4 separate regions of the Mus musculus genome follow, and all the other regions are reported to be linked to region 1. The links are microRNA targets in miRTarBase. Many come from high-throughput screens and were not tested one by one. Region 1 holds a microRNA gene; each other region holds the end of a gene's coding sequence.
Evidence for each region. Region 1 holds the annotated microRNA mmu-miR-148b-3p (UCAGUGCAUCACAGAACUUUGU, at 3,494-3,515, opposite strand). A microRNA usually pairs through its seed, bases 2 to 8, with sites in the 3' UTR of a target mRNA and lowers its output. Matches are read on the target gene's strand: a 7mer-m8 pairs with bases 2 to 8, a 7mer-A1 pairs with bases 2 to 7 and ends in A, and an 8mer does both.

Region 1 (7,950 bases):
CACAGAGCAGGACTGTGCATTCACACACACTGGTTCTAAGACAGACATCATCCAAAAGTTCACATATGAAACCCTTCCTCGATATATATGAACCCTCACGACTTAATCGGATAGGATAAAAATCAACCTGAATCTTAAGTGTGGCAAACAGAAAAATATTTGAGACGTCCGGAGTCTGAGAGGTAGCTAAAATAACAAGGGGAGTTTTCTTCCACTACCAAGAATGGAACTAAGTACTCAGTGCCATGGGGCATGTTTGTGTGCAGGGAGCCCTGGGTCCCTGTAAAACAGAACAAAACCCCAGAATGACACAGACTTGCTGATACTGGCTCTCATGAAGCCATCACAACTTAGCTGTAATGGTTACACTTTAACACCTTTCTTCAATTGCAAACAGATGACTTAGGAAAAGCTATTGAGCCTGGTGTTCTCTTCTCTATTCTCACAACTTTCAGAAGGAAAAAGGAAAGTGAGAGCAGCTGGCATTGTGCACAGCAGGCCTCCGCCACTCACAGAATTTGAGGTCTCACCAAGACTACTTCTCACTACCTCTGGTCCAAGGCAAGACTATCTATCTGCTTTGCTCTCCTGGTCTTAGAAAACTCACCCATCTTCAAAAATATAAGTTTAACAAAGACATGAGGCAGAAGAAAGAATTACTGCAAAGGATCCAGAGACTGCAGCCTGACAGAGGTAAAGTGAGGCTCCTGGAGAGGTGGGGCTTCATAAAAAAGAAGCAACCTTAGCTCAAGAGAAGTGGGTATTAACCCAGGCTTTCCTTTTCTTTTTTTCACATTCATTCATCTATCTATCTATCTATCTATCTATCTATCTATCTATCTATCTATCTATCTATCTATCTATCTATCTAGATAAGGGCTCTCAATATGTAGCCCAGCTGGCCTTGAACCCTCAAGACTGCTTCCAAAGTGATCACTCCCCGCCCCCCATGTGTATGGTTGTTTTGTCTACATGTAAACTTGTGTACCACTTGCATGACTGGTGCCCTTGGAGGCCAGAGAGGGTGTCAGAATCCCTTAAAACTGGAATTAAAGATGCCACGTGGATGCTAGGATTTGAACCTGGGTCTTCTAGAAGAGAAACCAGTGGATTTTGTTGGTAGTGCTGGGTTGTTTGGTTGTTCTTGTTTTGTTGTGTTTTGTTTTGTACACAGGGTCTTACTATGAAACTCTGGCTATCCTGGAACTCACTGTGTAGACCAGGTTGTCCTTGAACTCAACTCAACTTGAACTCAACTCAAGGTTGCCTGCCTTTTGCTTTGCTACTGCTGGTATTAAAGATGTATACCACCAGACCCTGCTTAAAAGCCAGTGTTCTATTTCTCTGTATAGCTGTGGCTGTACTGAAACTCTCTATGTACTGAAACTCTCTATGTAGACCAAGCTGGCCTAAACTCAGAGATTTGACTGGCTTTGTACCGGAAGTCACTGTGATTAAAGGTATGTGCCATCACCACTAGACAGAAGCCAGGACTCTTAACTGCTGGCCTATTTCTCCAGCTCACTAACCCAGTCTTTTGAAAATGGTATAAGAGCCCAGCAGTTCTGGCTCAGAACTTGGGAGGCAGAGGCAGGCAGATCTCTGAGTTCAAGGCTACAAAGCGAGTCCCAGGACAGCCAGGGCTATACATGTAATTATTGTCTCAAAAGAAAAAAAAAAAAAAGAAAGAAAATGACCTAAGAAATGTAAGCTTTGAGCCGGACAGTGGTGGCGCACGCCTTTAATCCCAGCGCTTGGGAGGCAGAGACAGGTGGGTTTCTGAGTTCGAGGCCAGCCTGGTCTACAGGGTGAGTTCCAGGACAGCCAAGGCTATACAGAGAAACCCTGTCTTGAAAACAAAAACAACAAACAAACAAAAAGAAACGTAAGCTTCGTTTTCCCCACTTACTTTTTTTATCAGGTAGGCTATGCTATGTAGTCCCAGTGTACAGTCAAGTATAACCTTAAAGCTAATCCACCTACTACTTCCTAATTACAGGTGTGTGTCTTCATGTGCATATGATTTGAATTCCTAATGATGGTAATTTTTGATGAGGTCCTGTCTCAAAAAACAAAAAGAAACAAACCAAGACATTCACCAATTTTTGTATTTTGTTCATTAATTCATCTCAAGTGCACAGAGCAATGCCTGGCGAATCCCGAGCTCTCAATATTTGTTCAAAGTTGAGAATAAAGTTTAAAAAGAAATCTCTCAGCACGATGATTTATTATAACTGGATTTTGCATCTAAGTGGATTTTGTAGTGAGATTGTTCTACGATGATATTATTGCCAACCCACCCTCTCCTCTGACACACTGAAAACTGCCACCCTAGCCACACTGCTCTCTGGAATAAAGGACAAGAGCATTTCCTCTGCAACTGGGGAACTGTGCTGTCTGGCATAGGGAAGTCTTCTCAAGTATAGTCTAAGAGCCACCAACAGAAGTTGTTCTACTAACTCCTAGCTCCATACAGAAAGATCACCCCACAGAGCAGGCTCTGTTCTACAGCCACTTGGCTGTTCAAGTACCAAAATGGAGCCCTCAATGGGAACGAGTTTTCTTAATGGGAAAAAAAAAATCCTAACAGAAGGAAATGGTTGTGCCCCTTCATCCACACTCACAGCAACCACACAGGGCTAGCTGCCCACAAGTTGCAACTGGACCTTAATCTGGCATTGGTGACTGTTGTTGCAGCCAGAGTCTGGTATTCCTGGAAGGAATGGGAGCACACACCCCCACCCTCACAGAAGCCAAAATCCCTAATGGCAACCTGCCAAGTGGGAGAGCCAGTGTTCTTGTGGCCAGCAATGTCTAAGCACCTACACAGCCATGCTAACAACAGAATACAACCCAGGATTCTGCTCCTGACTCTTTCACTGGTTGCCTAGAAGATATGATCAAAGAAACCTTAAAACAGAAACACTGGGTCTTCCTGAGCAAGATAAAAGACAGGTTAAGGGAGAAAGGAGAGACCAGACCAGCTTTCAGGCACTGGAGTTCTGGAAAAAGAGGGAAGGCAGAACAAAGCCTGACCGTTTCAAACTTGCAAAGGAAGACCCACAACAAGGAAAGCTGGGGTATTCGGCAGGAGACAGAATGCCACTTAAAGGCATCACCATCATGCTGTAGTAGAGCCAGCTCTCCTCACTTCTGTTGTAGCTGGCCCCACTCCACCCTATGCCTTTACCTCTCAGGAGTGGGGAAGCCTGAGAATTCCCTTCATATCAGAAAACCAGCCAGTTTAAAGGCTCTAGAAGCCATTACTAATAATGTAACTTCATTCTAAGCTTTGCAAAGGACATGTTATAAATAACTCCCAGGTGCTAAGAAATGAGCTTCCTGGACAATGGGACTGGGCTTTGACCTTGTGATGCATTAAATACTGACTCTTGAAAAAGACCCTACAATCTTAGGACCATATTCAAAGGACTGAAAAGATCTATTCTTCCCTCTCACTCCCCAAATGGGCAGCTGCTAGAAAGCTTTCGAGACAAAGTTCTGTGATGCACTGACTTTCAGAGCCACAGCCTGAGTGTATAACAGAACTTCACCTCAAATGCTAAGGGTGCCTGTAAGTGGTGGGTAGGCAGACTGGCTGTGGGAGGAGGAGTGGCAGGGATAGATTTTCGTGTCTGCTTTTATTATCAAGAAAACTAGAAAGCTGTCTTTGGGACAGCTGAAACGTCATGCAGAAAGCACCTAGGCTGCTGCAACTAACTCTCTGATCTCCATCAGAGTCTCCAGAAACCTGGTGGGAACATCAAGTCTGGAGCACCAAGGCCTATACTGGGAAGGCTAGAGGAAGAAGATTCCTTCCCAGTGCTGCCCTCTGTGGACCTCCTGCCTGACACACAGCTTCCTCAGGATTACAGCCCAAGCAAACAGTGCCAGAAAGGCAATGGTTTGGGGCCTAAGCTGTTTGGGCAGAGTGCTCACCTAAGGTGTGAGACCTTGTGCTTAATCCACACACAAAACAAACCCCCACCAAACTCGATTTGTATGTATTTTGCATTTTAAATAAAACTAATACAAACAGGTTTGTAAAAGAAAACACGGAAAGCTAACGGTAGTGACACATGCTTGTAACCCTACATGCAGGAGGATCAGAAGTTCACGGTCATCCTCAGCAGCTTGTCAAATTCTAGGACAGGCTGGGACAAATGACCTTGTCTCAAAACAAATACAAACCAAACTACGGAATTAAGTCTATTGGCTTAACTAATATATATGGGATAGTAAGTGAATAGTTGGGTAAGATCACTGTATGAGATCAAAAAGCTTGGAGGAACAGTGTCTACATAGAGCAGAGAGACAGGATATTTTAGAACTACAAGTAACTATTTAAGTCTCTTAGGTCACAAAACCAAAAGGCCTAAGAATCCAAAGAAACAGCTCAGAGGTTAAGAGCGTTTGCTGCTCTTGCAGAGGACTCAGGTTCAGATCCCAGCTCCCAGTTCCAGGGAGTTCTGACACCCTCTTCTGGCCTCTGAAGGTACTGCATGCACACGGTGCCCATATATGCATAAAGACAAAACACTTGTATATATAAAATAAAACTGAACCGAAAAAAAAAATATATATATATATACACATGCATGCATGCATGCATGCATGCATGCATACATACATACAAACAAACAAAACAATATGGCTGAGATTCCTGGAAAGATCTGTGTTCCCTACTTACAAAGATATTCTTGGGATACAGTAAAATTCTTGGGCTTAGCAATAGATCTATTAATTAAAAACTGTAACAAGATGGTCTTTCAATCCTGCTTATAAAATGAAATGGCTGGTGAGATGGCTCAGTGGTTAAGAGCACCGACTGCTCTTCCAAAGGTTCTGAGTTCAAATCCCAGCAAACACATGGTGGCTCGCAACCATCCGTAACAAAAATCAGATGCCCTCTTCTGGAGTGTCTGAAGACAGCTACAGTGTACACACATATAATAAATAAATAAATCTAAAAAAAAAAAAAGAAACCTAGAGAGTTAAAACTAAGAGAGCCCTTCGTAGTACACACACCTGTAACCCAAGCACTTAGAAGGATGAGCAGGAGTTGAGAGGCCAATCTGGACCACATAGTGAGTTCTAGGCCAGCCTAGGATAGAGTGGGACCTTGTCTCAAAAGCAAAACAAAATTAGAAGGAGAAATTCCTAGATACCACTCCCAGCACCACAGGGCTATGCAGGTATTCTGTTACCTAACCCTGAGTTAAAATTTTTTAAAATTAAAAGGTATGCTGAGTTTGAGAGCTCTAATTTACTACAGAAGCCTACATAGTTCAGATGAAAAGAAGATTTAGCTAAGTTTTGACAAGGATAGCATTTAGATTTGGGAAACACAGCTGAGGGGCTTCAGGGGTGGATTCTGTGCTCAGAATATGCTTTAGACTGTGCCACAAACAAAATAATAAACACATTAAAAAAAGAAAGAAAGAAAAACTCACAGGGCTGAGGACATGGACCAACAGTTAAGAGTGCTTACTGCTCTTGCAGGTCTGGAGTTTGGTTCCCAGCATCCACATCAGACAGCTTATAACTGTCTGTGACTCTCAATTCCAGGGGATCTGACACCCTCTTCTGGCCTCCACAGGCACTCACACACAAGTGGCATTCACACATAGGGACACATTAAAAACCAAAACAACAAGAAGCCCAGAAAGTAAGACCCATGAGGCAAGCATAGCTGCACACATTTTTTTTTTTTTTTTTTTTTTTTGGTTTTCTTTTTTTTTTGGAGACAGGGTTTCTCTGTATAGCCCTGGCTGTCCTGGAACTCACTTTGTAGACCAGGCTGGCCTCGAACTCAGAAATCCGCCTGCCTCTGCCTCCTGAGTGCTGGGATTAAAGGCGTGCGCCACCACACCCGGCTGCACAAATCTTTTTTTTTCTTTTCTTTTTTTTTTTATTACGTATTTTCTTCAATTACATTTCCAATGCTATCCCAAAAGTCCCCCCTCCCCCCAACTCCCCTACCCACCCATTCCCATTTTTTGGCCCTGGCATTCCCCTGTACTGGGGCATATAACGTTTGCCTGACCAATGGGCCTCTCTTTCCAGTGATGGCCGACTAGGCCATCTTTTGATACATATGCAGCTAGAGTCAAGAGCTCCGGAGTACTGGTTAGTTCATAATGTTGTTCCTCCGATAGGGTTGCAGATCTCTTTAGCTCCTTGGATACTTTCTCTAGCTCCTCCACAAATCTTAATCGTAGCACTGAAGAGGTAGAAAAAGGGTGCTCTCTGAAAGTTCAGGGCCAGTCTAGTCTACATAAAGGGTTCCAGGCCTGCTGGGGCTATATAATGAGACCCTATCTTAAAAAGACCCATGGGTCCTGGAGAAATTATCTATCTTATATGAAACCAAATTTCGGTTGTAGAGGGGAAACTAAACACATATTCTGGAGGTACTGATGGCAGAAAGTCACAGTAGGAAGAATCTTCTTAGGAACTGAGACTATGGTTCTGTTATAGTATTTCCCTAGCATGCATGAGGCCCTGGGTTCAATCCTTAGTATTACTTAAAAACAGACATGGCATCACAGTCTGTAACCCTAGCAGTCAAGAGGCAGAGGTTTGAAGACTCAAAGTTCAAGATCATCAGCTACGTAAGTTCACAAGCCTCTGTCTACAAACAAACAAACCAAAAAAAAAAAAAAAAAAACCCCAAAACTGGAGTGATAGTTCAGCTGGTGGAAGTACTTGTGCATTTAATCACATGCACTGTCAGGGTAGCAAAGATCCCTTTTAGCCAGCCAGCCAGCCAAATCAAAAAGGTAATCAACAATAACAACTCAGCTAGGCAGTGAGTGGTAGGTGGATCTCTGGCCATCCTGGTCTATACAGCCAGTTCTAGGACAGCCAGGGCTACACAGAGAAACCTTCTCTCAAAACAATAACAACAACAAAACACAAAACAAATGAACAAAAACCAACTACATGGCTGGCTGCTGAGGAGAAATAGCACCCGAGGTTAGCCTCCACCCTCCACACATATGCACACACATTCATTATATCTGCACACGCATGCATGCACACACACACATCTTCCTACCCCATACAGACATACAGATAGGAAACATGGAGAGTCCAAGCATGGGGCAAAACTTCTGCTAGTTGAAGGAGCTGGCATCTCTGAATTCTGGGTAAGTTATTAACTCAAAATTTCCCCTCCCTTTCTCTGATACTCAACTTCCTCATAGGAGAAGTGAAAGGCTGGACCTAGATTAGCTAGGGTTATGGCCTTTTTTAAAAAAAAAAAAATTACAGCAGACCCTTGTGATAAGCTGATAAAAATTTCTGAACTTTGTCCCCAAAAAACAAACAAACACCCACACCACACAGGTGAGACTGAACTAGGTTTAAAATTCAATCCTCTGAAGATAAGATTATGTGAAGAGCCCGGTTTGGTGGCCAACATCTTTAGTCCCAACCCTTGGGAGGCAGAAGCAGACTGATCTCTGTCAGTCTAAGGACACACTGGTAGACGTAGTGAGATCTGGGCCAGCCACAGCTACATAGTGAGACCCTGTTCAAAAAAGCCAAACAGTCTTTTGAATGTGAAGAGGAAATGAATGATTTTCTGCCTTCAGTCAGTTAACAACTTCAATAAAAATATGTGGCCTTTGTAAGTTAATATGGCCAAGGATCTCACACAGCCAGCAGGGGGAGTAAGGGTCAGCACCATAAACCTCCAGCTTTCGGTGGCCTCCAGCTTTGGTGACCAAATTGTACAAGTTAACAAGCCTCAAGCTCTTAGGCAATGTAGAGTACCAGGTCTTTGCTTTTCTTTCTTTCCCTTTTTAATTGTATTTTTTTAAATTGTAAAACATTTATTTTACATGTATGAATTAGAGAATTTATTTTACATGTATGATCTCCTGTGGATGCTAGGAACCAAACCTGGGTTCTCTATAAAAGCAATAAGTGCTTTTCTTATGTGCT
Region 2 (7,950 bases), not on the chromosome of region 1:
ATAGTGCTTGCATGATACATGGTAGCTCAGGCAGTGGCTGTCAACGTTGAGGAACTGGAAAGGCCCAGGGGTGTGCAGTTGTGGCAGAATCACCCCTCCAGCGAGCAAGGCCTGGTGACGGTGAGGCCAGCAGTGGACAGCTTCTGATGTATCCTGAATGCCAAAAGCAAACGGTTTGGACTTGGTACAGACAGTTGTGGGTGGTGACAGTGGCCTTTCAACAGGGAGTTCCCTGCCATGTGCCAAAGCACTGTACTGGGATTTGGGGACTTTTAGAAAGAGCCAGAGTTACTGTTCTCATCTGAATGGTAGCAAGCAGGTACAGTCCTCCAGGGAAATAATTACTTCCTGAGAGGTGTCCACCCTGGAGGCTCTGTGCAGCTGACATGTCCTGACCCAGTGCTGGATCACAGACGACCTTGCTAGGAAAGGCATTGTACACGGAACAGCCAAGAAGTGGGCGGCGGCATCCAGAGGGAACTGGTGCTCGGTGGGCCTAGAAGGAGGTCTGTGTGTGCAGGAAATAAGGGGGCGGCCTGCTGGTTTGGGGATGTGGTAGTGGGGGTTTGTGTTTAGAGCCTTCTGAAGCAGTGTGTGGGACAGATCTGAAGGAAAGAGGCCAGAAAAGAGCAGCGCAGAGACAAAGGTGGACAAGAAGAGGGTGGGAGGGGGGACGAAAGGAGGCTTCTTGGAGGAGGCATCGCTGTGAAAAAAATTGGAGGTTCGAAGTGACTAGTCTGGCCTTTGAGCTCCAGGGAGCAGAAGCAGCCCGTCCCACAGACCGAGCACTCCGTGCTCTGTACAATAGCTCAGCAACTCTCCTTCGTGTTGCCTCTGGAGCTCCTACACGTGGCAGCTGCCGCCCTCAGCCATGCAGAGCTCAGGCTGTCCCTGGACCCGTGGCAGGTGCTCATTTGCATTGGTTTGCATAATGTTCCCGCCCCTTCTAGGTCCCAGCTGCCTCGAGGCTGCTCTGAGCCCCCTGCCGGCCGCAGACCACAGTGCCATGTCCTTCAGCTCAGCGCCCCCTGTCGGTTACCGAGTGGGAGCGCTAACTCAACCCTTCGGCTCAAACATATACCCGAGGAGCAAGTGCCTACATTTGGCGTTCTAGGCACTTTGCTATCTGGGCTTGGAGGTCCTCCAACATCTCCCTTGACTCAGTGCACCCCAAATGCTTGACACCCACCTGAAGCTTTCAGGTAGTAGTGGCTTTGTTCATCAGCTCCATCAGCAATTCCCACCTGGCCGGCCCTCTAAGGGCCTTAGCCCAGGGCACTCTTCAGCCTCTCCAGACTTTTCCTTACTCCCTCCTCCATGACCAGCAGAGCAGGACCCTGGGATGTTTATAAGAGACAGCGCGCAGGATGGGAGCTTAACCCAGCCCTCCTTTACTCCCTGATGTCCTCTCCCCCTCCCGATCCTCCATCCCACAGGCCATTTACAAGATGGTTTCGTCCGTGATGAAAATGCCCGAGGATGAGTCGACCCCGGAAAAGAGGACTGAGAAAATCTTCCGCCAAATGGACACAAACAATGACGGTGAGTGGCGGGGGGGGGGGGGGGGGAGATTGGGGGGGAGTGATAGGGGTGGAGGAGGGTGGGCAGCCTTCCTCCTTCCCTCTCCTGAGCCACCTGCCTGGCTTCGCAGCCACCTTCTCCTCATTTACAGCCCTCCCTTTGCCCTGCAGGCAAGCTGTCGCTGGAGGAGTTCATCCGCGGAGCCAAAAGCGACCCATCCATCGTGCGCCTGCTGCAGTGTGATCCCAGCAGCGCCTCCCAGTTCTGAGCTGAGAGGAGCCAGCTCGCCTCCCTGCCTTCACCGGCCCTCCGGCTCTCAGCTTCCTCTCCCTCGTGTCTATCCAGGCTGGGGGCCAGACTGGGGATCCCTTTCTGGGGTCTGCACTGTGTGTGTGTGTGGGCCTCTGGAGAAGTGAAACCTGCAAGGAAGGGGCTAAGCAAGACAGCTGTTAGTCTCCACGGCCCAAGAGGCAGAATCTCCCTTAGTGGGACCGAGATAGCCCTCCGGTCAGGTTCTGTATTCTTTAGTGAGACAGCTGGATCATCTTACACCCACCCACAGTCAGGAGGATCTTCCACAACACGGGGGCAGGGGGGCGGGTAGGTCCCCTTTGGGTGGTCCTCAGCCTGGAGGGAGGTGGGGAGTCATGCCAAGGTGAAGAGTCTTTTTGTTTGGTGGGGAGCCACGGATGATTTCTGGGCTGTGGGGCTTTGAAGAAGTTCCCTGATCTACTTCCCTGCAGAAGAACACTTCTTGTCCCAGCTCTTGCTGGCTGGAGGCCATGGTAAAACAAAACAAAACTCCCAGGATTCCAACTGGGGGTCCCCAAACTCAACCTGCCTCTTTGCACTTAGATAACCACAGATTTACCCCGTCTGTACTCTGTATTTCACCTCTCTCTCTCGTGCACTCACGCAAACACACACACACACACACACACACACACACACACACACACACACACAGAGGCCCACAGACAGATGGGCAGAGCCCCTCCACAGCATTCTGTGTGGGAAGGAAGCGCAGGCCCCCGGCCAAGCCCCATGTCCCTCTGCATGCAGCCACACGGAGCATCTTGGTTCTTTTTAATAACTTCAAAATAAAGTCTTGTTTCAGTGCATTGTACTCGGTGGCCAGGGGAGGGCGCTCAAAGCCCTCTCCCACGTCCCCAGTAGTCCATTGACTTTTCATGGGCGTGCTCTAGGAATCCTGGATCCCACTAAACTTCCATGGCTGGTTGGGCACGGGTCAATACAGGTGTGGTCACGTGCCTCAGTAGCCATGGCGCTGCTGAAGTGTCAGAGGGTCAGCTGCAAGAACTGGCGCAGCTCAATAGGTCATGAGCATCCAGGGGCTCTGGGCTTGCTTGTATCTGCAGACACAGGAACTTGGTTGTTTCCCTCTGCCTGGGGTCTCTATCTTCAGGACACCCTCAAATTGGAAGAAGGAAGGGCTTCTGGGGCACAGGGGAGGACAGCACTATCAGTCATTCATGACAGGCCAGAACCCACTCCTCCCCCAACTGTCTCCTGTATAATCCCCAAAGACCAGTGCTTCTCCTCAAGATTAGGAGAGCCAGACATCAGCTGTGTGACTTAGCTGGCACATCCGGCCTCTCTGGACTTTGGAGCCCTTTGGTAGTGCTGAGAAAACTTTTGCTCCAGTTATGTGAGGCCCTGTTCAGAAGGGGTGAGGCTGACCATCCAGGGGCCTCCCAGGACTATGGGGGGTGGGGGTGGTGACTTACCGTGTGGTGGCAGCTCTTCCCCCACCAGGGCCTTAGTTCCAGTAGTCCATGCATGAGCTGGGCGCAGCGCACGGCAGACATACTCTCCGCCAGACAGAATATGAGAGAGATGGCCCAGAGGCACAGGCTAGAGCTCTGAGGGGTCCAGGGGCAAAAGCATCTAATTAGGGAAAGGGGTACAGGTAGACCCAAGAGTCCTTCCCAACCCTTTCCAGGACGAGGCACTCACATAAATTCGAGTAGGGTCAAAAGGACAGTCAGGTGCCAGTGTTGGGAGTTCAGGGTTCTCAAAAGTACAGGCCGCCAATAGTGCTCTACCCTTGGTGGCGAAGGTCACTGCAATGGAGGCCAGGAGTCCAAGGGCACAGGTCAGAGAGAGAAGAGCACAGGCCACACTCAAGCTAAACACGGTCCAGCGCTAGGCAGAAAGAGCACTGGTCAGTGGATATCACTCTTGGCCCCAAGAGGGCTGCTGGCCCAGCCCACAGTCCCATCAGAGGAAATGCCACATACCAAGGGGGTGCTGGGGAGGTAGCGTGACAAGACGATGGTCGAAATTCCTGCAACAATGACCTGTGGGGAGGCTGGAATCAGCTGGGATCAGCCGGTGCTGGAGGGCAGCTCGTGGGGTCACATCCCCCCAACGTCTTCCACGGTTCTGCAGTCTCCACTCCCACCCTGGCCTCTGGCTTTGGCCTCATAAACTCCCACTCCCTACGGCCTTCCAGGGCTCCGCACTGCCTAAAGCTGTTGAGTCCGACAGGGTCCTGTGTGTCCTAAGTTTTCGGGCATAAGCCCGGGAGTGTGCTAGGCCCCAGGACCCACAGCATATCTCCTTAGGATGGAAAAGACTGGAAGAAATGCATTCTACTAACAAGGTACTAAAACCAAAATGATATAAATCAGAAACCAGGCATGGTGGCAAATGCCTACACTCCCAGCACTGAGGCAGGTGGATTGCTGCAAGTTTAAAGCCAGCCTGGTTTACATAAAAGGTTCTTTTCCAGCCAGGACTATGTAGTGAGGCCCCATCTTAGACAGACAGGACACATCATAAGCAGAATTCAGAATCTTTAAGAGGTGGCCAAGGATGGGGCTTGGGAGTAGAATAGTTGCCTGGCATGTGTGAAGCCGGGGTTCAATCCTAAGTACCACAAAAAACAAAGAGACCTCTAAGAGCATCAAATTATCCCAGGCTCTTAACGACCTAATCCTGGCCTTCTCTGGTCTGTCCTGGACCACTGTCTTCCCTCATTTCACTGGACCTCATGCACACTCGCAGATTATCCTTTCCAAGGCGCCCTGCTCCTCAGTCCTAATGCCCCTACATCCCCAGAGACAGGATTTCCTGCACACTATTCAGCTCAGTGGCTGACCTCTAGATCCCTAGGGCTCCATTTAGCCTATCCGCCTTCCTAGTGTCGATCTCTGTAGTGGACACAGTACCACTGGGGGTATAGTGGTAGTGTTAATTTACTCTGCAGCCACAAGAAATTACCTCAACTTCTCAGGGCTGAGCCCCTCTCTGTAGGATGCGCTCACAGGAAGATAACCACATCCAAGGGAGTGGAGTGATTCCCCCAGTCATGGGCAGCTGGGAGTGTTTTACTGGGGAAAGGTGAAGTGTTCCAGCCCCAGAGCCCTCTGACCCTGGGCTGGCCACCTTCCATGCCCTCCTCAAATGGCTGTTGAGCAAAACAGATACTGATTGGCACATAGCCCTGCATTCTTCCTGCCGTTGGAACTTCCACAGATCAGAGCCTGGTTCACCAGGCCTGGAGGCCACCAGGCTGTCAGAGGCAGAGACCAGCTCAGAGAGAGAAAAGTCCCTCTGTCAGGAGTCAGCAGGTCTCCCAGAGATGAACAAGTCTACAACCACCTTAGCTGACCGGCAGAGAAGAGCTTTTGTACACCTAAGTACACCAGACTCTTTCATTTATTCATTCATCAAACAAAGATGTCCCAGTATCACAATGACTACGGCTTATATCAAGTGGCTCATGTAGTCTGCCCTAGTGCTAAACTCCTGTCTGACTGTTTGAGTCAGTGTCTTCAGCACAGATCTCAGCCGTTCCCAGCTCCACACATCTGCACCTGCCACACAGCCTGTACATGGAATGCCACCCTGGCATGCCTTTCTGCTAGCCAGCCCCAGCACGCCGCATACTTGGGTTGTTAATTACAGTCCATTGGGAACGCCTACACATCCATAAATACCCAGCTCAGAGGTCTACTCCTCCATGAAACCCTCATTGACCCTCCCTAGCTAAGCTGAGGTACCACCGCACCGTGAATATCTGTCACACTGGCCATGTGCCAGGCCCCTCGCTTAAGCACCTTCTGTGGATGACTCCCTCAGATGTTCACAGGGAACCTCTGCTGTGCACACATACTCTCGCCACCCCCATTTTACAGAGGACAAAACTGAGGCAGAGAGCGTTTGAGTGCCTGCACAGTTTGTATATGGTTATACCGTATATGCTTGGGGCTCTGACTGGGACGCAGCCCCTCCCCCTTGCTGGCCCTCCCAGCCAGGCCATTACCACAATGGCAGAGGTGACAGAGAGGATGTCCACTGCGCAGTACTGTAGAACCACAGCGTCACTGGTGGTGGCTACGAAGCGAAGCATGGTACCATGGAGCACGGCGGCTGCAATGAAGCTCACGTGACCCAGCACAACCAGCACCAGACCCGTCTTCATCAGCACCTTCCGGAACTCATCCACATTCAGGCTACCTGCGGGGGACACAGGTCGGGATCGGGGTGAGGCGCCTCCTGCTGGGTGGTGTAGGACATCTGAGCCTCCCCTGTTTCTCTAAAAGCTTCACGGTTGGTGCTTAGTGTGAAATTGGAAAAACGCACAGGAGATCCACACAACTGTCCTTGTTAACTCTTGTGTTCTGAGTAGCAGTGATCACTGAGTCTCCCAGCCACCCAGTCATCCACTCAACTGCTCCATATATAAAAGCGCTCTGTACACCTGTCCCATGCCATGCACTAGGAGAGCCGTGAGCCCAGTATATACTGTCCAGGCCCCGAGGAGCCTGCAGTGCACTGGGCAGGAGTCAGGCCTTGCTCAGCAGTCAGTTCGGTAGATGGAGCCTGGCACACACAGTACTTAATGTGCAGCTGCTAAGTGGAGCTATCGAGAGCCGTCTAGACTCTGCTTCTCTTCCTGGAGAGGAAAAGAGCCCTTGTTTCTCAGTGTGGACAAAGTCCATGGGTGAACAGGAAATCGGGGACCCAGTGCAGGCTGTGCTTAACTGGGGTTGGGACCAGGAGGGACTTTGGCAACAACCACACTTTCTGAGTGGCCAAGTCCTATCCCGTTCACATAGCAGGAAGCCCTCCTCCCCTGAAATGCTCTCTGCTCCAACATCACACATGGCTCTTGGCCATGCCACCTGGATGCCTGCCCCCACCCTGGGCTCTGAGTTTAGCCAGCTCTGAGAAACTGCAAGAGTGTGGTTGGCCCTCAGTTAAGCAGAGCCCTTCCTTCCGGTCCTGCTCCCAATAGGCTCTGACTTTGAGACCCTCCACGTGCGGCAGAGAAATTTAGCCCTGTTCCCTATACGTGAATGAAAACAAGAAACGGCTAAAGAATCATTAAGTGGACATTCTCTGGGCAATTGCAGGGGCCAAGGAGGCCAAGAGGACTCATAATCCTGTATTTAGGAGACTGAAGCAGGAGGATTGTTGCAAAGTCAGGACCAACTTAGTTACAGAGTGAGACTCTGCCTAAAAAAAATAAAATAAAATAAAATAATTATTTGTTTATTTTGGTGGTGTAGCCACTGGTAAGTCGCCTATGTTGCAGTAACAGCCCCCCCCCCGCCACCGAAAAAAAGAAAAATTATTGTAAGCAACCCTAATTAAACTCAGTAACACACAGAGAGAGAGAGAGAGAGAGAGAGAGAGAGAGAGAGAGAGAGGGAGGGAGAGAGAGAGAGACGGGAGGAAGAGCTTTGAGGAGCAAGGAGGAGCCTGTTACAGACTCACTGTGGACCTGGTACCAGCCTGTCCTGTTCAGAGGTAACCCCGGATTTTTTCTGCATAGAGCCAGGTGAGGTTCCCCTAACTGCTCTCCGAGCTCTCCTTTAGCTTGCAGGCCCTGGGACTGTCATCTCAGCAGAGGACAGACCATGGACTGGAAAGGCACGAGGAACTGGAATGGCCTTGTGAAGATGAACAGCTGGCCAAACAGGAAGAGGAATTGCAGCCTTGTTCCAGGGGCCTCCTGGGTCCCACCCTGTCCACCCACCCCATCCACCTACCCATCAGCCAGCCACTACTGGGCTTTGGCTGGGCTCAAGAAACAGCAGCATCTCTGGACCAAGGCTTTGGTCAGACAAGAAGGCTAGGGTTGCTTGCTTTAGTCAGAGCGCCCTAGGCTGGTTTTGGTTCTTCGTTCTCATGCTGGGAACACTGGGCAAGTGGCTGGTGTAGTGCTAAGCGTTTATTAGCAGACCGGAACTTCATCCTGGTCAAGAGGTGGGTGCAACGGTCTTCATTTTACCAAGGAGAAATAGGCATGGCTCGAAAGATGTGTGTGCTGGAGAGTGGGAACGGAACCCCTTAGATCCCAAACAGCAGAGTTTGCCCAGGGCGTGGGGGAGGGGCGCACCAGTCTACTCTGTCAAGATGCTGGCTGACTGGCCTTTCCCTCCAGCTTGGCTGGAT
Region 3 (7,950 bases), not on the chromosome of region 1:
TATAGATGGGTCTGAGCCACCATGAGGATGCTGGGAATTTAACCTGGGCCCTGTGCAATAGCAACGTGTGTTCTCAGCTTCGGAGCCATCCCTCCACACTGAATGGGTTAGGTTCAGCCGGAGAACCCCGATTTAGGGTACCCAGGGCAGATGACTGCTGTCCTAAAGATTGTCCTTTTTAAAAAGCGACGAACTTACTGTTTCTGATGGTCCCATCTTCAACTCTGAATCCCTCTGTTCCGATTTCATTCCTGGGAGTCTCTGGTGATTCCTGCTCTCCGTCTCTGCCTCCCAGAGTGTCCCAAGGGTCCTGATATCCTGGTGGTCCTGCTGTCAGTGATGGGGGCCATCCTGCTCATTGGCCTTGCTACTCTGCTCATCTGGAAGCTACTCATCACTATCCATGACCGGAAGGAATTTGCTAAATTTGAGGAAGAACGAGCCAGAGCCAAGTGGGACACAGTGAGTGGCTGTGCTGAGCTTTGAGTTCTCCGGAGTCTTTGGTTCATGAACCCGAGGTTGGGGCAGGAGATGCTCAGTGGTCAGCCAGCCTCGAAACTGGGAAATGTTTTGACTGTTCTTTTATCTGTATGTGCTATGAGGCCTCCCAGTCCTCTACCTTACAGTGACCACATGTCCTGATCACTGAGCTCACACGGGATACTATGACAAAGGGAGAAGCTTAATTCTCCAGTTGAGGGGACAGGGCAAATCTGTATCAGGGACATGTAACACACTGTACAGAAAGTGACATAGCAGAGAACGTCTCCTGAGGGCTAAATGCTTCTGACACTTTATCTCCGTAACAGCCCTTTTGATGGACAATATTATCATTCGGATCCTATAGTTAAGGAAACTGAGGGCAGAGAAGTAAAGCAGCTTGCCTGACAAAGGAAGGGATGGGGCAATACAGGAAGTACTTTCGGAGTCAGCCTCTTAGATGTCATGGCCTTACATCTGTTTACCTCATTTTTCTCTTTTCCTTCAAATGAGAGGTGGTAGCTTGCAAACCAGGATCCTCTGGAGACCCCAGAATGCTGTTTAACCTGATTTAATCCAATCAAACGAGCATCTAAACAACAAAAGCCCCATGCATGTGTGTATGGCCATGGTGTGTTTTCAGAGGTCAGGGGACAGTCTGCAGGAGTCAGGTTTGCCTCCCACGTGGGTTCTGAGGACCAGTGTCAGCTGCATCAGGCCCGGCAGCAACCGCCTCTGCCCGCTCTGCCCGCTCTGCCAGCTCGCTAGTCCGTCGTCGGATGAGCATTTTTCTTTGAGAACTGTTTATTTAATTTTAAGTCCAACTTCACTTTATTTTTCCTAGACAGGCCAAGAATGTACAGCGTTTGAGCCGCTGAGGAACTTCTCTAGATTTCTTGACATGGAGGGGATGTTCTAAATTTCTTGACTACCATTAAGGGGGATTCATTTACTTTTTGTTAGGAAGTAATTTGGGAAACCTGGTGAAGGCACACAACAGGTCTGTGGGTAGCAACTGGCCCGAGAGATGAGATAAAAACAAGTTAGGAATAATTTCAGCAAAAGCCGGGCTCTGTGTTCTGACCTCACCTGCTACATTTTCCCTTCTGGCTCCCATCGCGGGCACTGCCTTAATGAAGGGAAAGAAAGAGTAGGGACAGAAGAAGAAACGGGAGAGGCAGGGCAAACAGTATACTAGTCTGGGACTGACAAATATTCTTCCACCCAAAGTGACTGAATTAAAAACCCTTAGAAACAGTGGCAGACCAGCAATACAGCATCCCTCTCCCCTCCTTCTCTCCTATCTATTCCCATCCTAAGAGTTGATGAGTAAATGTAAACATTGGCTGATTTCTGAGATGACGTTTAACCGTTTGGGGTAAGGAAGTGCATGGAGCTGACCACCGTTTCTCCTCTCTTCCCTCTGCAGGCAAACAACCCGCTGTATAAAGAGGCCACCTCCACCTTCACCAATATCACCTACCGGGGGACTTAATGAGACCATCTTCAGATGACGCCAGGACCGTGGGACTCTCTGCCATTATGTTTACAGAGGACATTTGTGTGTGTGTGGGTGTGTGGGTGTATGGGTGGGATTTGGGGCGTGGGTTGGGCTGGGCTGGAAGAATGTCAGTATGTGGGAATGTATCTCTCTGTGTGTACTTATGTGTGTGACGAGTGTGGGGAAATGTGTAATTTAAAACTTGTGATGTGTCTCACAGGCAGAGCTCCACAGCCTTTGTCCTCAGGGGCCCTCCCCAAAGGATTCTTCCTGCTTAGCTTGAGGGGGACTCATGATGCCCGGCAGGTGCTCATTACCTCTGAGAAGCTAGCTTGCTTTGTCAGGCCATTCTCCCAGAAGAGAAGGGCAGGGCTGAGGTTCCCCAACCCCCATTCCAGAGGAAGTGGTGTCAAGTCTTGGTTCTATACCAACTTTGTAATTTTCCGGTTCTTGGGGCTGACTGTCAACAGCTGTGGTAGAAAGTGCTTGACGTTGAAGCTCAGCTGTATCGTCTGTGCCTCTGCCCACCTCCCTCCCTTCCTCAGGCTGATGGTGGAGTTAGGGGAGAATCGAGTCCTCAAGAGTTGCCTGTGGCTTTTGCCAGCACCTCAGTCCTGCTATGGCTCTCTCTCTCATAAGGAAAGTCCTTGTCACCTGGCTCTTTGGCCTGTTAAGGGTGAGGATGGCAAGGCCACTCAGGGGTCATGCATGGCCTGGGGGGTGTGCCAGCACCTCCAAGATCATAATCACAGCCATTCAGAATTGCCTCATTGGTAGCTCTTCCCAGGAGATTTGTGAACATGTGTCATTGTGTCAACACCATCTCTTACCTCCTGCTTCTACACCCTGATGGCCACAGACTTGTGCTATGTGCTGAGACTCTCTCTCATGGTCAGATGCTATGGGCTGAGGCTCTCTCTCATGGTCAGATGCTATGGGCTGAGGCTCTCTCTCATGGTCAGATGCTATGTGCTGAGGCTCTCTGTCATGGTCAGATGCTATGGGCTGAGGCTCTCTGTCATGGTCAGATGCTATGGGCTGAGGCTCTCTGACATTGTCAGATGCTATGGGCTGAGGCTCTCTCTCATGGTCAGATGCTATGGGCTGAGGCTCTCTCTCATGGTCAGATGCTTTCTCCTCAGGGGAGAGTGCAGTGGTCAGAGCTGGAGGTCCATCCCCACTCTCCAGGCTTTCTGCTCCTCTTTCCGGGCACCTCCACACACCTCATCCTATGCCTCTGTGTGCTTGCTACACCCATCCATGGGGGTGCTTGTGTGTATCTACCTCTTCGGTGTCTTGTGAAGGAGTCCCCCGAGTCTCCCATGAGTCTGTTGAACAACGTGCCAGGGAGGAGTTGAAAGGCCAGTCAGAACTGCATGTGTGGCCTGTTCTCCTGTGGGCTGGACAACCTCATTTTATCTCAGCCTTTAATCTGGGAGGCCACAAGTGCAATTTTATTTTATTCCCTATGGGGACACCCAAAACTATGATGAGGCCCGATCACTCTAGAGGAGCACGTATATAAACATACTTGCATTATTATATTTATAATTTTGTATGATGACAAAGGAGAGCATAAAAAACCCCACACAGAGTGTGTGGCAAACATTCTTAGTAACTTGCCAGTCAGTGGCTGGGTCTGCAAGGGGCTTCCCTCTTCCTGGAAGCATGTGAAGATGGGTATGTGGACACACTGACCCTTTCTTGAAGAGGTTTCTCGACTGGGTTCTGGGTTCTGTTGGCCCAGCAAGCATGGTTTGCTCTGCTGGCATTGACTTAGATCTAATGTTAAAAATCAGTGCTTACCACCCAGAGACAAGAGGCCTATAAACAGCATCTTGATGATCTGAGACCTGAGTCCTGGCCTCGGGATCGCTGTCAAAACACCTGAAAGTTAATTCAGAAAAGCCATTTCCCCCACCCCTCTGGAGTTCAATATTCTTTTGGATTTGGTAACTTGGAAAGTCTATTTCAAGTGTCACTATTCTTTTTTTCTGAAAGACAGGGTCTCATGTATCCCAGGATGGCTTTGAACTTGCTATGTAGCCAAGGTTGACTTGAACTTCTGATCCTTTTTCTACACTTCTCAGGTGCTACAATTACAGGCATGAGTTATCCTGCCTGGCTTATGCAGTGCTGGGAATAGAACCCAGGACATCACACATGCTAGGCAAGAACATTACCAACTGATCTGTATTCCCAGCTTTAGTATCAACATCCTAAGATGCCGAGAGTAAATACGGTATCAAGCCTGCGGTCCAGATTCTGTGTGTGTATAAGGAGGCTGGAATGTTGACCAGTAGTAGAACAAGCAGTTAAGGAATGTCCTGGGTTTGATTCCCAGCACTGAAAACGTGTGTGTGTGTGTGTGTGTGTGTGTGTGTGTGTGTGTGTGTGTGTTTTGTGGGGGGAGAGGTGGTGTTGCTCCTGTTTGTCTTTCAGTTTCCAGACTGAATGCCTTGGCTTTCACGAGAGCAGATGCTATTCTTAGAACTTGTCTCAGCGAGTCTCATTCCTTCTCAGACTCCCTTCATCTTTTGTTAGTGGGTGCATCTGATGTAGCACTTAGTTTTTATCCAACTTGTTCTTTCTTGTTCACTCTGCATACAGTTGCATCTGCATACCAGGGAGGACCTTCAGTAAGGAGTGGCTGATCCAGATGTTGGTGTGGTGAGCAGGCCTCGAGTACAGGAGAAAGCCAGCGACTGTCCGGTTGTGCCCTTGGGTTACTCTTGGCTTAGGTGGTGGGAGTACAGTAGAGGGACAGGGAAGATGGTCAGAGATCCATCCTTTAGCTACTGAGGCAGAGTCCGTGAGAGTAGAGTGGGGTTTTCTTTAGAGAAGACTGTTTAGATGAGGAAACTAGCAGGGAAGGAAGAAAATGTATTAGAAGAGTGAAAGGTGAGTAGGAATCTTGACGGTTTCTGGAATGAGGCTTGTGGTGCTTGGGCGGCAACGCCGGTCAGGACTCGGGCATATCTGTAGCTGTTCTCTCCGGAGGCTGAGGAACAGTCTGAGTGGTTTCCAGGGGATGAACATCTAAAATTGTGCTGGGAATGAATGCGCAGCACAGAGCGGCTGGGCCCGTTCTCTTACAGGTGGTTTCGGTCCAGTCTCTGTCTGAGGACAACAGGAAGAGACAGAGAATGCCTGGCAGGTAGCTCTGTTCCCGTTCTTTCCCTCAGAGACAGTCATTCTGAAGCTGCCCACAGCAACATCAGAGTCTTTGTCCATTTTTGGTTGAAATTGCTTACGCGCCTTCCTGACACCCTCCCCACCTCCTCTGAGTTGTGTAACAGAGAATTAAATGTGCTTTCCAAAAGAACTGGCCTGAGACTACCCCATGTTGTTAGATCTGTTTTTGCTGGGTGCAAAGAGTGTCACTGCTTCCTTCCAAAGGGACAACTGTATAGTAAAAGCAAGCTTCCGGATGTAACAGGATGGTGCCTGCTGTGGGAGCTGGAGCTGGCTTCTGAGTCCAGAGCTTTGCTATTTTCAAAATGAGCAGGTTACTACTTTCTAAGGCTTTATTATTATTATTATTATTATTATTATTATTATTATTATTTTAAATTGGGGGTTATTTAGGATCTTTTGCAAACAAAGTAGAACACGTCGTCAATATAGTCCAGGTTTTGCCTGTAGGGATCACGAGTAAAATCTCAGTGACAAATGACTTGCAGGGCCGTTTACATGCCAAACTTCTACTTAAAATGGCTAGTGGTAAATTATAGTATCACCTAGAAAGTTTTGTTTTTGTTTTTGTTTTTTGTTTTTTAAATGCAGTTGAGAGGCTGGAGAGATAGCTCGGTACTCAAGAGTGCTTTCTGCTCTTTCAGAGGTGTGGAGTTCAGTTCCCAGCTACCTTCAACTCCAGGTCTAGGGAATCCATTCAGGCTCCCGAGGGAACCTGCATACATACGTATATACACACAGACACAGTCAGATAGAAACACACACACGCACACATACACATACACCCTCACAAAGAAATGAAAACTGACAAGTCTCAGAACCACAACCATATGTCCTGAGAACTGTCGAGTAGTCCTGCTGCTGTAGGTGTGTGTGGGTACACAAATCTGGGGAGTGCAAGTGAGACACTTCCCAAGGCCTCTTAATACAGTCCCGAGACACGGGAAACCAAAGGTAGAAGAGGCTGCTGCCAGGGAGAAGGACATACCTTTTCACAGGAAACCTTGAAGAAAAAGTATACACTAAAATAATGTTTGGAACATAGCACGGTAAATACATAAGCGGCAACAGAGCTATTGTCAAGTATTCTGTACTGTACACAACCGATGTGTTGTACTTTGGCAGCAACACATTTACATATGAATAACAAGCATTTTTGATAGCTATGATAACACCTAGTGATATGAAAATTCAGCTCTCTTACAATCTCATGAGACCACTGTCATGTATACAAAATGTTGTCATGTATCATGTAAGGATTGAATAATAAATGCAGAGACCCACAGCCATACATTTTACACACACACACATACACACACACACACACACACACACACACACACACACACTAAATAGGTTCCTTGAACACTCAGCTGGCACATTTAAGTGGTTAGGTATCACCATCAAATCTCCCCTCCCCCGTCCAGAGCTCAGGGACCCCATGGAAGAGAAGGCTGACAGAGTGTAGGAGCCAGAGGGGATGGAGGACACTGAGGAGACAAGACCCTCTAAATCAGTATGAACTAAACTCCTATGAAGTCTCAGAGACAGAAGCAGCGTGGATGGGGCTGTATGGGTCCACACCAGACGCTCTGCATGTATATCACAGCATTCAGGTTAGTGTTCTATGGGACTTCTGAGTGTGTGAATAACTGCGCCTCTGATTCTTGTGCCTTCTCTTGGGCTCTTTTCCTTCAGTTGGTTTGTCTTGTCCAACTTTGACATGGTAATTTTTTTATTATATTTTATTTTGTTGTATTTTATTATCTCATAGAAGCCTGTTCTTTTCTAACAAGAGACAGAAAGGGAGTGGATTGGGATGGAAGGGGAGGTGGGGAGGGACTGGGAGGAGTAGAAGGAGGGGAAACCATAATCAGGATTTATTATGTTAGAAACGAGTCTATTTTTAATGAAGGGGAGGGGGTAAAGAAGGAAATCTGAGGGCAGAGCCCAGCAATCTGTGTTTTAATGCCCCCTCCCAATGGTTTTGCTGACTGCTTGTTTGAGAGTAGCTAACTTTAGAATGCTTGATGATAGCTATGTTGTTGGTGTATCCATGTCCTCTTGAGGTAGATGTTTTTTTTTTTTGTTTTGTTTTTGTTTTTTTTTTTTTAAGTTTATTTATTTATTATATGTAAGTACATTGTAGCTGTCTTCAGACACTCCAGAAGAGGGAGTCAGATCTTGTTACGGATGGTTGTGAGCCACCATGTGGTTGCTGGGATTTGAACTCTGGACCTTCGGAAGAGCAGTCGGGTGCTCTTACCCACTGAGCCATCTCACCAGCCCCAGAGGTAGATGTTTTATTATTAATTAACTCAGTTACTACACTGTAGACATTTATTGGACAGATTCAGAAAACCAGATATTAACTCAGGAAAAATCTCTTTAAACCTCTCTTTTAAAAAATTGTGTGTGTGTGTGCATGTGCGTGCGCGTGCACATCACAGTACGTATCTGAGGTTAGAAGATACCTTGGTGGGAGTTGGGTCTCTCCTTTCATCAAATGGGTCCTGAGGATTGAATTCAGGGTTTGGTGGCAAGTGCATTTATTCACTGCGCAGTCTTGCCAGCCTTGAACATCTACTTTTGATCTATTTTCATCTTGGAATTCTTTAGTTTCTTCATATCAAGTGTTCCTTAAAAAACAAACATGAAAAACAAAACAAAAACTAAAAGAAGCAAATATGTATGGATCCCTGAAAAATCACCAGTATACGGCTAATTGAGTATAATAACTCTTTTCTTTGCCTCATCATTTCCTTCTATAATGA
Region 4 (7,950 bases), not on the chromosome of region 1:
AAGAGAAAATTTTAAGACAGTACGAGAGAGGTTCTAATAGTATAAAACTTAGCCACTTCAGGGGGCCTTCTGGGGCTGGCACTGTCACTTGTTGGGATAGGTACCCAGCATAGTAGGCCATGTGTATCTCAAGAGTGTGACTACGTGAGAAGCAAGGGAGATGGCTTCTGAAAGCTAGAACCATTTAGCACTCGAGTTACGGCAACCAGGCAGGGAATCTAATTAGGCCCTTGGCTTTTGGTTTGGGCAGTGTATTGAAGAATCTGAAGTCTTGACCCAGCTATCCTGTTTCTCTTCTGATTGCCTTCACCCAAGTTAGATAGCTGTGTTGTACATTGTGGTTTTGTTGTTGTTTTCCTGCACGGTAGGAACCGATAGACTAATAACAGTATCTATCCCGTTGAGTCACTGAGAATTCACAAGCAGAGAGAAAGCGTTGATGTGTAGCTAAGGCCACAGTGATTGATGTGTAGCTAAGGGAGTGTGTAGCAGCTCCCCTTAGTTTTTTGTTAGCAATCTTCTCATATTTGAGGTCTGTAGTGTTAATACAGAGTGCACATAGGACTCAGGTCATCTTTTCTGTGTCTCTCTGTCAGGGATGTGTGAGATTACTGAGCATCATCAGGAAACTTAAGAGTTGACACCGGAGCTCTTATATAGTCCGTTTCTCAAGAGAGGTTTGCTCCCGGGTCACCAAGAATGGCTTCTCAGTGAGTCTCTCATTTGCCATCTTTAGCTTCCTGAGCTCAGAGCAGCTGCTAACTTACCTGGACTCCCAAGAAATCTGAACACGTATTTGAGTTGTACACTAAGTGGATTATTTTACAGATGGGTAGATGTGACGGGAGTGAAGGCTTTACAGCCCTCTAGGTCGTTTGCTTAGAAGGCACTTGCTGAGTGCTTTTATTTTCACAATGTGTTTTGCAAGATGGCTTCACAGAGCTGGAGGTATATTCTCATTGTGGTAAGGAAGAGCTGGCTCCTTTACTTCACAAAGCTTATGTGTGCTGAGGAGAGACTAAACTCCTTTGGCACCAGGGAGACATAGGCAGGTGGATCTCTGAGTTTTAGGCCAACCTGGTCTACAAGTTCCGGGCCAGCCAGTTCTCTGTAGTGAGTCATCTCAGAACAAACAAACAAACAAACAAACAAGATTAGTAATTCCGTAGAACACGTGTGAAGATAGACTTGGTGTTGTCTTTCCAGAAAACTCTGGAATTAAAAGAGCACAGCAATTAAAAGAGACCAACCTGGAAATTAATAAAAACAGACACATGGTGTATCATCCTGTGTGATTTCCTTTTTCTTTTGGAAGGGAAATCTTTACTTTCTCTGAACGCAGAGTACTGACTCCAGTGTTTGTGCTGTCGCTTGCCTGAGTTTTCGCCTGTCTAGACAGGCTGGGAGGCTGGTGAGGGTTGCTGCCTAGTGGGCCTAGCTGCTGTGAGCCTTCAGTGTGTTTTGTTAATGAGCCACTGTGCCTTGTGCTTCCAGGAAGTGGGCCGATCCAGCTGTGGCAGTTTCTTCTGGAATTACTCACTGATAAGTCTTGTCAGTCCTTTATCAGCTGGACAGGAGATGGCTGGGAATTCAAGCTTTCTGACCCAGATGAGGTATGTAATGAGTGACTTGGGAGTCCTGGGCTGAGAATGGGCGAGAGAAAATGCTGGGATTGTGATCCTGTAGGCCCAGATTTCTAGCTCAGCTCTGCTGCTTGCTGCGTGTGCGACCTATGATGCAGCCAGCCCGAGCTTCTGTCTCATCATTGGCAGAGCCCAAAGTGTGTACACTTTCTGGGACAAACTGATGTATATATAAGTTCCTGGTACAGAGTTGGTCCTGCCCTCTGTCTAGTCCCTGGCTCTGTGCATCTGGAAAGATGCATCCACTCTGATCGTTTTCCATCCTTTCATCCCAGAGTGTTGAATAAATGGTTGGTATATGAACGAAGAGATCTCTCTTCTGGCAGACATGAGAACGTGTCTCTACCCTGGTCCAGAAAGGATGCTTCCTACTGGTGGAAGCAGAGGTGCCAGCGCTCTCCTCCCATCCTCTCCCTTCTGCCCAGTTCTGTGCTTTCATTTTAAGGATGCCTGCTTATAATGTGGGCCAGAGGGATGTCTGCCCCACGGCTCTTCCTTTTCCTTCAAGACCAAGTGTTTTAACTGTATTCCAGAGGAGTTCAGAGTCACTGTTTGAACAAGTAAATGGAACTCAACACTTGGACACTTGAAATTAGAAGTTCTATTGCAGTCACATGTATGGGATAGGGACATTGTCCTATTGAGAGGAATACTCTGGGCTCAGAAAGACAGCACATATTCTCGCTTACATGTAGACACTGAATTGCTGATTCCACAGACACAGAGGATAAAAGAGTGACGTATCTGAGCATGGCCAGGAGGAGGCTAAGGGGTTGGGGAGACCCTGGTTAATGAGCCCAAGAATGCAGGTACAGGAATTGGCAACTCTGGAATCTCTGTGGTACTGTAGGGTGCCTACAGAACATTAGCAGGTATTTCAGAATCGCTAATGTGGGTTATTTTGCATGGTCCCCAGAAAGTAATGGGAAATGCCTGTGATTGAAGACATGCCATTTAGCCTGGTCTGATCACGACACAATGCACAGCTGTATTAAAATGTTGCATTGTTCTGCCTACATCTTTTGAAATAATCTCAGAATGTCCATGGCTCCTAACTATACATTCAATGTATAGTTATTATAAACAATTCAAAATATTTTTTAAAAAAGGAAATGAAGGAATAAGTCAGACATATGCACACACACACACACACACACACACACACACACACACACACACACACACACACATGATGTTTGTTTGACCACCATGATGGATGTGAAGACTTGTATAGACACTTGTATTTAATTTTATTTTTATTACAGGTGGCCAGGAGATGGGGAAAGAGGAAAAACAAACCTAAGATGAATTATGAGAAACTGAGCCGTGGCCTTCGCTACTATTATGACAAAAATATCATCCACAAGACGGCGGGCAAGCGCTACGTATACCGCTTTGTGTGCGACCTGCAGAGCCTGCTGGGATACACCCCTGAAGAGCTGCACGCCATGCTGGATGTAAAGCCGGATGCTGACTAGTCATGGACAGACGCGCAGAAGGAAGGGGCTGGGGGAACCCTGCTGAGACCTTTCAAAGAGCAACCCTGTTGGTTGGACTCTTCATTTTTAATTGTTATTCAATGTTTTATTTTCCAGAACTCATTTTTCACATTCAGGGGTGGGAGCTGAGGGAGCGCCGCTGTATTCCATTGGCCATTGGTGGGCCGGAAAGAGGAGGTCAGGACCTGCGGGGTGGGCGGGGCAATAGCTCCTGAGCAGACTTTCAGAAGGGAGAGGTCTTCTCAGAAGCCTGTTGGACCTGGCTTGCAGAGGAAAAAAAAACTTAAGTGTCCGTTTTTTTTTTTTTTTTTTTTAAATCAAAGAAAAAAAAATTCATCTTGAGTTGTGGATCTACTAGTGGGAGGAATGATCACATTGAGATGAAAGAGATTGATGAAAGCCAGTCAGTTTTGTGGGTGGGCTGAAAACAGTTTCTTCAGGGGATTACTAAACTCAAGAATTATTAACCTTTCTACTTTTTGAAACAATGATGGACTTTGATTGAAGGGGTCCAAAACTGTTTTTATGTTGAAGTTTATTTTATTAAATTTTGTGCCAGTATTTTTTTTTCCTTAAAAAAATATCGTCTTAAGCTCTAAGGTGGTCTCAGTATTGCAGTATTGTGAGTTTGTTGTTATTTGCTGGCTGAGGACTCTTGTCACAGTGAAAGACAACTGTTTATATAGACCCCATTGGAAAAATCCCAGTTCTGTACTGAGATCAGAGACCCCAAACTCTTACAGCTAAAGGAAACGAATGCTGATCTGGGGACAGGGGGACTGTGCGTGTGACTTCCACCTGCGGTTTGTAAAAACTGTTTTCCTTTGATTCACTGTCAGGCTTTGGACTTAGTGTTAGTTACGGGGCGTTAAGTCTCTGCACTGAATGTATTCTGCAGCTCTTCTATGGAATCGTCGGCATCATAGCACAGTTCAAGTCTTGGAAACGAAATCCAAGGAGCAGGATTAACCTGGGTTTTGGTTAAACCGCTACCCGAAACATGGAAGACTCAGAATAAAAGCCGTTTGCATGGGCATTACCCCGAGGGTCTTAAGGCCTCAATGCATGCCATTCCAAACTAACATTCTCAGTTCTCCTCTACTTTGTCTTATGTTCCCCCCGGCATCCCTCATTGCTGCCCCTCCCTCATCACTGATCAGTGAAAGTGGAGTGTAATGCATCCTGACACGTGACTGAAAGTGTAGTTTCAGCCATCACAACACAAATCCAAGAGTCCAGACTTGCTAGGGCTCGGAGGCCACGGCAGTGGAGAGGGTATTTCAGTAGCATGTGACTCGGCCTCCTTTGAAGACTTGGTGCTCGTCAGGTAGGATTTCAGGTGAGACTGCTTGCCGGGAAGTGGCAGGGAGCACTGGCACTTGACCTGTTACCACCTCAGCAGAGGGCAAGCCCAGGTCAACTGCGGTGAGAGGGAGACGGAGAAAATACAAGGGAAGGCGCTTAGGTAAGGAAAATAAGGTGGCCCGAGACAGTTAGATAGATGTTTAGTTTCCTCCAAGTTTAAACTCAGACTTAATTGAGGCAGCCATCATCCTGCCTGATGGGAGAGGAGACCTGAAAATAAGCCATTGTGGGTTAAAAAAAAAAGTAAGGAGACATGCCTGGGATCATTAGAATCCCTTCCACTGTATAGCTGCCTAGTTAAGACAGTGACAGTGACATCCCTGAGAGAAGAGAGGCAATTGGCTGAGGTGGGCCTCTCCAGGCTCACCCTTCGGGGTTTGTAGCTCCCTGGTATCATCTTCCAGGAGAGTTGATGGCTGACTCCCACATTCCCTTGAAGACTCTGAATTACTAAGACTATAACTCTTGTCCGTGGGTGTTCTGTACTGACTGAGTGGAGCATCCCCACAAGGAAGCAAAGGCCAAACATTCCAGCTATATATTTTGATCTTACAAATGCAGGTGCCTTAATGAAGCTCTCAAAATATTTAGGAGCTGCTCAGGGAGTGTTAGGTGGGATCATTTGGATTATGCTGTTTTCTCTTATGTTATGTGATCTTTGTTGGGCACTGACAGTGTGAGTGTGTGTGTGTGTGTGTGTGTACATTTGTATAAAGTTGCAGCTGAAATAGTACTGAATTTTCTACTTAGAGTCTGTTCACATTTCCATAATGGTGAATGAAAGAGTACAGCCGGGGCTGGTATTGTTGTTTGCTCTTTGCAACAGGGCTTAAAAAAATCACTTCCCCAAGTCTTCACCCTTCTCCATATTGGGTTCCTGCTGGGAATGCCCCTCCTGAGAGCCTACCACCTGCAGTCCCCTAGCAGAGAAGACATAAGAAAGTGTCTCCCACACTCCTCAGCGTGCTGACTTGCCTGCCTTGATGCCCTTTCTCCCTAGGTCCACCACTTTTCAGGATTTGTAGATAGTATATTAGTCAGACAGCTTTGTTGTCCATCTGGCCAGATGCTTTCCCCCATCTCCTCCGAAGGCCAGAGACCATCCCAGGAAGAGTGGCGGGTGGTTTATACACTGGAAATGTAGCAGCATTGCTGCATTGATGCTCTTTTAAAACACGTTCACTTCACAGGAAGGATGAACAGATCTGACCTAGCTGGGCGACTCCATCATTTTCCCAGAGAAATGCTTTAACCTGTGTGGCTGGCTTTGGGCTCAGAGGCGGGGCTAAGGATGCTCCCTGCGGAGAGCTCTGATGGTGTGGCCATGGAGACCTTGTAAGCATTCAGGATCAGAGATGCTCTTCCTCACTTTGGAGACCAGCACTCTGGGTTTTAAAGCATTAACCTTCATGGTGAAATCACACCTTCTCTCTCCTAGCCATGCTGTGCATGCGGCCTTCTCTGTTGGGGTCTATATAAACCTGTTGAACTCTTACGTACATTCCAAAGACGTTTCAAGGAACCACAAGTATATGTATACAAATACATATATGAAGTATATATGTTAAAGTGAATTTATCTCTATCAGGAATACTGCCTCAGTTATTGAATTTTTTTTAAGGATACTTTTTTTTTTAAAGCTGAGAATTATTGAGGTGAAAAAGATGTTATATTGTGTTTGACTTTTTCCAACTTGTATTTTCATATAATTTATATTTTTTAAATGCTGAAAATTTAAAAGCAAGATTTAAAAAGGAAAAGCAGGTGCTTTTTAAAAATCAGAACTGAGGTAGCTTAGAGATGTAGCGATGTAAGTGTCTTAAATGTTTTTTGTTTTTTTTTTAAAAACAAATGCAAAAAATTCTTATGGGGGAGTTTTTGGTTTGTTTCATTTAAGTAGCTGATGCTGGCACATCATTTTGCTGGAAAATTTTTTATATACTGTAGGCTGATTTCATATTGTATTTTAAACTGTGTGAAATTAAAGAAACAAAGAAATTCATTCATAATGAGGTGGCTCTGGCTTGATTCTTTCCTGTCTACGTCGTGGGAGAATTAGGAGAAATCAATCAACCAGAGAAAAGCACAGAAGAAATACAGGGCAGTTCTCCAGATCCTGCGGCTTAGGGTCATTCTAGATAAAGGTTGCCTAATAAAGGGTTAGAGGTATAGGGACACAGGATTCCTGTCCCAGTGATTCCCTGCATTGTTTGTTTCCACCTGTGCTGTTGCCCCCACCTTCCTTGTCAAACATCACTGTTCATGTCTGAAGGACCAAGAACCATGTGAAGAAAAAAACTGACGACTCAACGGGTAGTCACTGATGGAGTCCAGCTAGGTCCAGTTCCTGATGTTCATATAGACAGACCATGATGTTTGGTTTCTTCTGAAGAAAGCTGTGCTCTTTGGCAGTTAGAACTCATCACATCCATCTCTTTGGCCTCAACTTTTCCACTGGGGCTAGGCACGAAGAAGGATACTATCTGTTAGAACCACTCCAGCCTATGTCATGAATAGAATACATACTTCCAAGTGTTTTGGGACAGGAATGCTTAGGGCTGCATTCTGTATGCGGGTTTTTTTTTTCTAGTTGAAACTGTAGAAGGTGGATGTTTTTAATTAACACCAACATTTGCAACATGAATCCCAACTCACAGCTGGAAAGAGAATTTTTGCTGAATTGTTCACAAAGAGAACTGTGTTTTTGGAAAATCTGTTTCTTCAGCCCTGGAACTTGAGGTTTGCTGAGCACACTTTAAACACGGACTGTGTGGTCTAGTGGTCAGAGCCCAGCTGGCCAGGAGAGTGGCTTTGGTCTTGGGTATCTGGTAAAGCCACCACTACTCCTGGACAGATTTTTTTTGTTGTCGAGGTGAGGTCCTCAGATTTTGTCCTTCTCAGCTGCAAACCTGGGCAAAGCCCCTACTCCCAAGCCAACCAGAAGCCACATCTGAGATCCTCTAACCCTGCATAAACTATTCAAATGGGTTGCAGCTTCAGTCAAAGCTTTGGACAAAAACTGATCCAAGTTGACGTTATCTCTCAGGATATCTGACTACACGGAGACCACAGTAAACAGCACAAGGCACATGTGAGTGAAGTCAGCTTAGTCCCTTCTCTCTGCATCCAGAAGCCACAGATCCAGTGGGTTATTTTCAGGCAGTTGGGCTTTGGTGCTCTCTTAATGACACCAATAAGCCACTGTATGGAAGCCATTGTGGAGGGAAAGGCAGTAATATAGCAACCATTGCAGGAGTTGAGAAGGATGGGTGGGGTAAGGTAAGAGCTACTATTGACAGGAGTCACTTAAGAGAAGGTGGGCATGCACAGACTTCACATGCTTTCAGAAGGTAACAAGTAAGATGTGCCAAGTGGTTTGAATCCTTGTAGCCATGAAATTATATCCAATTCCCCAAACTTCTGACCATGCTTCCATCTCTGAG

Region 2: miRTarBase lists Hpca as a target of mmu-miR-148b-3p. Seed matches in the 3' UTR shown: 7mer-m8 at 1,902-1,908.
Region 3: miRTarBase lists Itgb3 as a target of mmu-miR-148b-3p. Seed matches in the 3' UTR shown: 7mer-A1 at 4,325-4,331.
Region 4: miRTarBase lists Ets1 as a target of mmu-miR-148b-3p. Seed matches in the 3' UTR shown: 8mer at 4,020-4,027 and 7mer-A1 at 5,173-5,179.

Annotation. Positions count from the first base shown.
Region 1 is chr15:103,280,750-103,288,699 of GRCm38, reverse strand. It overlaps Mir148b (microRNA 148b), which reads right to left and starts at 3,575; the gene lies at 3,479-3,575. The region is part of intron 1 of Copz1 (coatomer protein complex, subunit zeta 1); the gene reads right to left. It overlaps Gm41406 (a long non-coding RNA gene), which reads left to right. Exons shown (of 5, transcript XR_003951562.1): 4 at 456-693; 5 at 2,000-2,338.
Region 2 is chr4:129,106,267-129,114,216 of GRCm38, reverse strand. It overlaps Hpca (hippocalcin), which reads left to right. Exons shown (of 4, transcript NM_010471.4): 3 at 1,437-1,542; 4 at 1,692-2,647. The coding sequence ends at 1,789. It overlaps Tmem54 (transmembrane protein 54), which reads right to left. Exons shown (of 6, transcript NM_025452.4): 2 at 5,813-6,006; 3 at 3,783-3,842; 4 at 3,499-3,687; 5 at 3,270-3,404; 6 at 2,591-2,894. The coding sequence ends at 2,829. Among named protein-coding and RNA genes, the nearest start is that of Tmem54, 4.7 kb to the right of the region's middle.
Region 3 is chr11:104,665,171-104,673,120 of GRCm38, forward strand. It overlaps Itgb3 (integrin beta 3), which reads left to right. Exons shown (of 15, transcript NM_016780.2): 14 at 296-462; 15 at 1,910-5,303. The coding sequence ends at 1,975. Among named protein-coding and RNA genes, the nearest start is that of Efcab13, 22 kb to the right of the region's middle.
Region 4 is chr9:32,751,305-32,759,254 of GRCm38, forward strand. It overlaps Ets1 (E26 avian leukemia oncogene 1, 5' domain), which reads left to right. Exons shown (of 10, transcript NM_001372534.1): 9 at 1,495-1,613; 10 at 2,909-6,516. The coding sequence ends at 3,121. Among named protein-coding and RNA genes, the nearest start is that of Gm3331, 28 kb to the right of the region's middle.